Danio rerio: one gene and its partner. The main gene of each other region encodes a partner of the protein of the gene in region 2 in a complex. Links are inferred from orthologs where the notes say so. Each region holds a gene or a part of one and is shown on either strand. Other genes may lie near its edges. The genes, in order: cdkn2a/b and cdk6.

Region 1 (4,408 bases), on a different chromosome or scaffold from region 2:
GCCAGAAAAAAAGAAACAATTATCAATTCAACACTACAGTACAGTTAAGAATAAAGGCTAACAAACATCCCGCACAAACTAAATGTTTCTTTTGTCAGTTAACCCACACAGTTTAACCACACAGAGCTAACAAACAGCTAACCACGTTAAGCAAAATTATTTAAATTATGCCTTGGTATAAATAGAAAGTTTCATTTTTATTAGTCGTACAATATTATAAACTTAATAAAAGCATGTTTAACCGGAAGAAATGAAAAAAGAAAGAGCTCGCCAAAAATATTGGATGTCCTTGCGTTGCAAGCCATTTGATTCAATGTTTGTCGCCATGCTTTTCAGGTTAAAAACAAATAGGTGGATATGTTATTTAATTATTTATTTATCTTTGGACATAATGCTGTCTACACTTTTTATTATGCGAACTATAGGCTAGCATGAGCGTATGATGGTTTGTGTCTGTAGCCTTTTATTGAAGTTCCCATTGACTAGCTAATAATAAATAATAATAATAAATAAACTTAAAAGATACAGAAATAAAATTTTAAATGATTAGAATCTCCAAACTACATGAATGACCATGTGCTATTGAGAATTATAAGTACTTGAGTGCATTAATAAGGTTACCACCTAAAGTAGCCTAGGCTATGCAGTGATGCAGTCTTTAAACATTTTAAACACGATTGAGTAATTCAACCACGTCTACGTTGCCAGTCTGTTGTGCCACATCCACTGGTCGTAAATCGCAGTGATCTTTTGTATTGGGGTCGGCGCCGAAGCGGATTAAAAGCCGCACGGTGTCAATGAATCCGGTTCTGGCAGCGTCGTGCAGAGGTGTGCTCCCTGTGTCGGGGTCAGGCACATTAGGGTCCGCTCCCTGTTCCAGCAGCACAAGAGCCAAAGGTGCGTTACCCATCATCATCACCTGGAGAGGGGGAAAATTGCTGTCTCATGAAAAAATAAACGCCAGTAACGTCATGATGTCACTGTAAAGAAGTTTGTTTAATCAATAATTTTACTGCCATCACTCGAAATCTGGAAAGTAGATACTTTTTGGTTAAATAGGAACGAAAGCAGTGCACATGCTGGCACTGAACATTGCTGTGCATGATGCATTACTCTTTTAGCCTATCAATAAATTATTCACGGGCAGTAAATCAATTAAATGCAACAAATTGTGTTGTAGCTAATTCTTATTTTTCATATGATTAATTATGAAGATTCCTATAATCATTTTAAATAAAATGTATGCCATAAATATGCTTTGTTCACATTTGTGATTTTCTTAAACATCTTTCGTTTAATTGACATTTTTCTGAGGCAATTCATGCTCGTCAGAAGTTTTACAATTGCCTAATCTTTTACGATTTCTGGATGTATGCTGTCCATCTGTTTAAAGTGTGCTAAAAGATATCTATACGCACTTTATTGTAGGCTACCTCTTCGGCTTTTGATGTCCCGTAACCGAGAGCATGAACCGTAAAACCATTGGACATTGTGAAAATTAGATGAAAACTTTCACACCAAATATTATAATAATAGGCCTACACGATTATAAAAACAAGCAAAAATAAGTATGGTCTAAAATATATACTCCATTAGTCTATGACTGTGCTAGTGGTGGCTGATTATTTTGGTCAATATAGGCCAACTGTACAAATGTCAAAATATTAAACGTACATTCGTAAAAACAAGCATGGCAATAAGAGGAAAAGGGTTTTCGCAGTGATGCCCTTCTGGTTCCGCACAGAAAACCTATTACAAAGCTTCCAAAAGAAGTATTTTTATTGTCAAAAAATGAAATAAACATTTTAATAGTTTAAAGGCACATTTTTCAAAAATTTTCTCCATAGATGCAAAAGGTTCTTCTTAAAACCATCGATGCCAACAAAGCTTTCGGGAGTGAATTAGCAAGTAGTGTGCCATTCTTCTCGCACATAGAGATATGATTTAATAGTTTAAAATTTATCTGAAATTAAGATCTATAAAATGTCTTATTTATTTATTGTTATGTATATAAATCTATCTATCTATCTCTTATATATAATTGTAAACATTTGGTTTTTATACACAGTTATAGTACATTGGGACTTTCGTTTTCAATAAGATTTTAGTTTTCTTTGAATAATTTGAACTTTGACAATACATCCAAAACTCCTTGTCTTATTTCGGACTAATTTCTAAGAATGTAGCTATAAGTTAAAATTATAATGTTAAAATTAATGACATTACTAAAAGATAGAAAGTGTTGTTAGTATTATATAGGTTGATAACACGCTATTGGTAAACATGTTTCAGGCCGTTTAAGTAGCCTAAAAGGTTCTTAAACATGCTAAAATGAGTAAAATAAATACACAAATAGCCTAATATTTAAAAAAAAAAAAGAAAAGTAAATCCCATATAGTCAAACAGGTGTGAAAATATGAAATAGCCTAAATTTGTTAAATAATATGACCTTTAATACAAAATAAGTCTTTGAATTGTATGTTACTAATTTAATGTTACATATCTGCAATTAATCTTATTTATTTATTTGCATTTGTTTATTTCCGTTGTTTATTCTTAAAGCGCGTCTAAACCTACCTGTATAGGCGTTCTTCTAAATTTGTTAACCACATTGGCATTCACTCCGTTAGAAAGTAAAAACTGAACATGGGAAATGTTTCCGGTGGCTGCTGCTGTGGTCAGTTCATCCTCGACGTTCATCATCTTTATTGATTTTCGAAATTAATTCGCTTCACAGGTAAAACCAAATGATGATGATACTGCGAAAACAATCAGTTCAACGCTGTAATTTATTTTTATCGGTCTCCATGAATAACATGTTCCAATATAATGCGTAAATAAGCGAAACTGACTCGTTTATCAAAGTGTTGTGTCTTAAAATAATTTTTCGTAGCGAGATATTTGTTCGGACTTGTCTCTGTCATAAACGTCACAGCAAAACCGTGGTGCAGTACTGTCATACTGCGCCTGCGCACAACAGCTGAGTCAGGAAGACATGAGTTTACGACACAGTAGGAGAGGCTGCAGAGAAACAGAAATTAGGTTCTGCTAATGTTTTATGGCTAATGTAACTGGCATTAGCCTGCTTTTAGATCACAAGAAGTTTTTTTATTCTTTTTTTCGGGTACATAAGCATATCACAACGCTAATTATGCTAACATAATTGGGTTTTGTGCCATGGAGAAGTTACTCTTCGGGAATAGGCTAACGTTACCAGGAAAAATCTCTCGTTTTTCAAGAGTAAAGTTATTTTATGGATTTTGATTAAGACGCGATGTTAGCTAGGCCTGTAGAGATTAAGTTTGACTTGGCTACTTTAAAGTATATTATTTAGCCATTATGCTGTGTGGGGCGCTTAAGTTAAACTATATTTTTGATCCACATAAATTATAACAAAAAAGCATATACATACATTCGTGGTAGCCTATATTTATATTTTTTTCATAATGGTTGTTCTGTTTTTGATTGTAGATGAACATAAATCTATTTTCTGCACGATAGAAAGGACGCGAATGGCCATAATTTTGCCCAAACATCGTCTGACTTACAGTTTTGTAATGCTATTTCCCCATCACACGACTGTAGCTAAACTATAGCCTGTATCCAGAAACAAGGTATTAAACAATTGTAGCAAATAGTTTTTAATTTTAGCAGTGAGTTTGTTGCCTCTCTAATACGTTGAAAATAAGTAAAAAGATAAAGGGTCCTGTGGCTGTGTAGATCATTTACATAAAGTAAAAATCACATTCTGAGATGCACCTGTTTAAAATGAAGAACAGTGTGCTTTTGTATTTAATTTTCTAACTTATTCATGTTTTGATGTTGTTAACATGTTAATAATATTGGTTAATGTGCATGCAAAATAGATACTAAAATATGAAATAGTAAATAAAATAATCATAACAAACCAACGCAGTACAATATTAAAGAAAAAAAATAGTTGGCAAAGCCCCACTGGCTAAGTGTTAATAATAGAAAATTTAATTTAAATGTCATAGAAGCAACGATTAAAAATGAATTATTTTACTTAGTTTTGTTGAATAGATATTAAACAACATGTAGAAATAGAATAGTTGAACTATGTAACTAAAAGATATCCTGCACAAAGTTTACTTCACAACTCCAGTAAATAGGCATGAGCATTTTAATATTTAATACCACAGTTGAAATTCCTACATTAAAAGGGGGAAAAAAGAAGTTTTGATTTGATTTATTTATTTTGGATCAAAAATATACATAAAATATCATAAAAAAATAAAATAAAATAAAAAACATTTTCGAAAATGGACTGGGATGAAGCACAAGCCTATTATTTTCCCACCCCGTTACCACATACTTCATTCGTCTATTACTTAAACCTATTTCTTCTTTCACTCATCTCTTTTTTTTACATGAGACATATTTTATC
Region 2 (3,832 bases):
GCTGAAATATATGCAAATGTGCAAATGAGCACATATTAAATTAAATAGTGCCTCATTTGCCTGTTTACAAACATAGTACAAAGCATGATGACTATTAAAATCGATGTCTTCAGTTTGCATTTATTGTGCAATACATTTAATACAAAAGAACTGAACGAACAGAACACGGTGATTAAAATGTATCTCTTCAGCCTCCAGTGTGGTGTTTCTAATGCGCTTCTGCTGTGTAGCTCAGCTCATGTTGGCTGTATAGAGAGTGAAAGCAGTTTTTCTCTCTTTGAGTCAGTATGTGTGTTTTTGGAAACTGACTCTGTGCTTGTGGCTCCTGCTATTTGTGTTCATGCCAAGGGAAGCAGCGTCCGCCTACGGGTGTCCTGACTGGCCCCAAGCCACAAGCGGGTGGACAGAAAAAGCCCTCAGATCTTCTGGGCCTAAGGCTGGCCAGGAAACAACGCATATACAGTGCACCAATGTCTGTTATGTGGCTGCAAGGGCCCTTATTTGTACAGTGGAGCCTATGAGGATTTTCTTTCTCCTTGCCTTCATTGAGACAGGCCAGAGACTGTTCAGCATTATTGCAGAATAAGAAGCTTGATTCTGAACACACACAGGCTTTGTATTGTGAATATGCATGCCTGTATTAAAGGGCGCCTATGATGAAAATCAACTTTTGTAAGCTGTTTGGACAGAACTGTATGTAGGTATAGTGTGTCCACTGTCATATTGGAGTGATATAAACAGAACAAGTCTCTTTTAAAATTTCCTGACGTTAAAATAGGATCCAAAACCCAGTGATGTTGAGGGAGACCGCAATATGACGTAGGAGTGGTTTCCCCGCCCACCAAATTGATTGACAGGCGACAAGTTTCTATGATAACATGTATACAGACATCCACAGAACATTTTTTTGCTTAGAAACTGGGACTAAAATATTTGCTATAAGCTTAAATGTTTTTTAAAACAGAGCATGTAAGTAATAAAGACTAATAAAGTTTACTCGCCATGTAATTCTTAAACAATCTAAACACCATGGCCGCATGGTGTTAGTAAATGCTAATATATGTGTGTGTGTGCTGCAAACAGCATTTGTGTGAGACTCATCCTTTCAGAAAGGCTTGAGTAAACTCCATCACAGATACATGAAATACACTTGGTATTTTTGACTAATGAGCTGTATTTCTGTTTCGTCTGTGTCTGTCTTTATCACTGACTGCTGTTTATCTGACGTAACGCAGGAAAAACAGACACACAGGAAAACAGTAGGCTGGGAGAATCAGCTCTTTTGCATTTAAAGCCACAGGCTACAAAAACAGCTACACTGTACTCAGACACCAAAATGGGCAGATTCTGGAGGCTATAATAAATAATCTGATGGGTATTTTGAGCTAAAACTTTACAGACACATTCTGGAGACAACAAAGGCTTAACTTACATCTTGTAATTAGGGTAAAATAGAATTTTTTATCTTGCATTGACTCAAAAAATGACTTTTACTGCTTGTTCAAAGTATTTAAAATGAGCTCAACTCAATTCTAATTATCATTTAATACTAAATTTTTAGGTTAATTTAAGTCATCTGGATATTTTAATAATTATATTTTAGCCTGTTCATTTCTGTTTTGTTTGTTTGGTTTTGAGTGTAACATTTTATTTTGCTTTATTTAGTTTCATGTTTGTAGTTTCCTAAGAAATGTTCCTCAGTTTGTTTTTTTCATTTTGTCTCTTCATAATTAGTTTGGTTTTATATATATATATATATATATATATATATATATATATATATATATATATATATATATATATATATATATATATATATATATATATATTGTTTATTCAATTCAGTTTTGTTTGTTTACATTTTTTTAATGATTTATTTTAGTTTGTTTAAATCTTGTCATATTTTATTAGTTGTTTTTATTAGCCTGTTATTTTCTGATTTGTTTGATTTAGTGTAATATTTTATTTTGGTTCATTTAGTTTTGTTTTTAATTTTATAAAAAATATATTTTTGATTTATGTTTTGTTTGTCTTTTGGTGTGTTTATTCATAATTTTAAAAATTCGTAAATATATTTAATTTAATTTTGTTTATTTTTATTATTAGATTTATTTTGGTTGGCTTATCTCTTTTAAGCTTCAGCTTAGTCCCTTTATTAATTTGGGGTCACCACAGCAGAATGACCCGCTAACTTATCCAGCATATGTTTTACACAGCGGATGCCCTTCCAGCTGCAACCCATCACTGGGAAACATCCATACACACTCATTTACACACACTTTGGACAATTTAGCATACCCAATTCACTTACACAACATGCTTTGGACTTGTGGGGGATAGCGGAGCACCCAGAGGAAACCCACACAAAACACGGGAAAAACATGCAAACTTCACACAGAAATGCCAATTGATCCAGCTGAGACTCGAACCAGTGACCTTCTTGCTGTGAGGCGATTGTGCTACCCACTGCGCCACCATGCTGCCCTACTTTTTATTATTTTCAGTTAAAATGGGTTTATTTACATTTATTTTAGTCCTTTAATTTTAGTTTAGTTATTATAAATAAAACCTTGTTTGTTACTCCTGTGAAAAGAATAATCAAATTATTAGTAATTTTTATTAGAATTTTTTTATGATGGTGTTTTCATCTTAGGTATTTGTACTGTTGTTTTACTTTTATTGTTAATGTTAATGTTTTTCCCCCTTAGTATTACACTTGATTTACCATTTTGGCTGTAAGGAAACACTGTATAAATCAAATGCATTATTAATAGTTATCAATATTTTTTTTATTCTCCAGCCCTCTTTTCCGTGGGAACTCTGATGTTGACCAGCTAGGCAAGATTTTTGAGTAAGTGCTGTTATGTTATGTTATGTTATGTTATGTTATGTTATGTTATGTTATGTTATGTTATGTTATGTTATGCTATGTTATGCTATGTTATGTTATATTATATTATATTATGTTATGTTATGCTATGTTATGTTGAAGATGTTAGCATCTGATTGTATTGTATTGTTTTTGTTGTGTCAGTGTGGTGGGAGTCCCGTCTCCAGAGGACTGGCCACAGGAGGTGGGTTTGCCCCAGAGTGCCTTCTCTCCTCGCCCTGCACAGCCCATAGAGAACCTGGTGCCGGACATGGATGAGCTCGGCAAATCACTCCTACTTGTGAGTTCATATCAATGTTATATCTCTAAATGCTTAACAATCTTTTTAGATGATTATCATATGAGATTATTACCCACAGAGAGTCTTCTCTGCTTTTATAAAGGTTAAGGAATATGTCAAGTAAATTGTGCTGTAAACCAAATTAATATTTGTTTGTTATTTTATTTTATGCAGTTATGCCTTCAAAAGGGAAGTATTTTATTTTATCCATTGCAATCAATGCAATCCAATGCAATTCTGCATTAAAAATGGTAGTATTTTATTTAAATTTTTTTCATTTTATTTTTATAGTTTTTTTATGCAGTTATGCCTTTAAAAGGGTAATATTTTATTTTATTTTTTTAATTTTAATTATTTTATTTTATGCCGTTATTCATTAAAGTGGTTGTATTTTATTTATTTATTTAATTTTTTTTATTGTATGCTGTTATGCCTTAAAAAGGGTTTTATTTTGTTTTATTTTTTTTATTTTATTTTATGCAGTTACGCCTTAAAAGGGATATTATTTTATTTTAGTTTTTATTTTATTTTATGCAGTTATGCCTTAAAAAGGTATTATTTTATTTTAAATTTTAATTACTTTATTTTATTTTATTTTATGCAGTTATGCCTTAAAAAGGTAGTATTTTATTTTACATTTTAATCACTTTATTTTATTTTAT

What was found.
Region 1: the proteins of cdk6 (region 2) and cdkn2a/b are in contact, whole or in part, in a crystal structure (PDB 1BI7), measured with the Homo sapiens proteins. The link is inferred for Danio rerio from reciprocal best matches to the Homo sapiens genes CDK6 and CDKN2A. Residues at the interface, in NP_001138778.1 of Homo sapiens: Glu14, Cys15, Val16, Ala17, Glu18, Ile19, Phe28, Lys29, Arg31, Leu33, Asn35, Gly36, Gly37, Arg38, Phe39, Arg44, His100, Asp102, Gln103, Asp104, Thr106, Thr107, Asp110, Lys111, Gln149, Thr154, Ser155, Leu166, Ala167, Arg168; in NP_000068.1 of Homo sapiens: Thr18, Ala21, Arg22, Gly23, Arg24, Glu27, Asn42, Tyr44, Arg46, Gln50, Val51, Met52, Met53, Met54, Gly55, Ser56, Arg58, Asp74, Ala76, Thr77, Thr79, Asp84, Arg87, Glu88, Gly89, Phe90, Asp92, Asp108, Trp110, His123.

The regions. Positions count from the first base shown.
Region 1 is NC_133176.1:27,775,950-27,780,357, forward strand, and holds the start of cdkn2a/b (cyclin-dependent kinase inhibitor 2A), read right to left. Parts: upstream 2,966-4,408; 5' UTR 2,704-2,965; coding exon 2,578-2,703; intron 920-2,577; coding exon 668-919; 3' UTR 1-667. UniProt on the Homo sapiens protein: Acts as a negative regulator of the proliferation of normal cells by interacting strongly with CDK4 and CDK6. This inhibits their ability to interact with cyclins D and to phosphorylate the retinoblastoma protein.
Region 2 is NC_133194.1:42,948,936-42,952,767, forward strand, and holds part of cdk6 (cyclin-dependent kinase 6), read left to right. Parts: intron 1-2,800; coding exon 2,801-2,851; intron 2,852-3,034; coding exon 3,035-3,170; intron 3,171-3,832. UniProt on the Homo sapiens protein: Serine/threonine-protein kinase involved in the control of the cell cycle and differentiation; promotes G1/S transition. Phosphorylates pRB/RB1 and NPM1.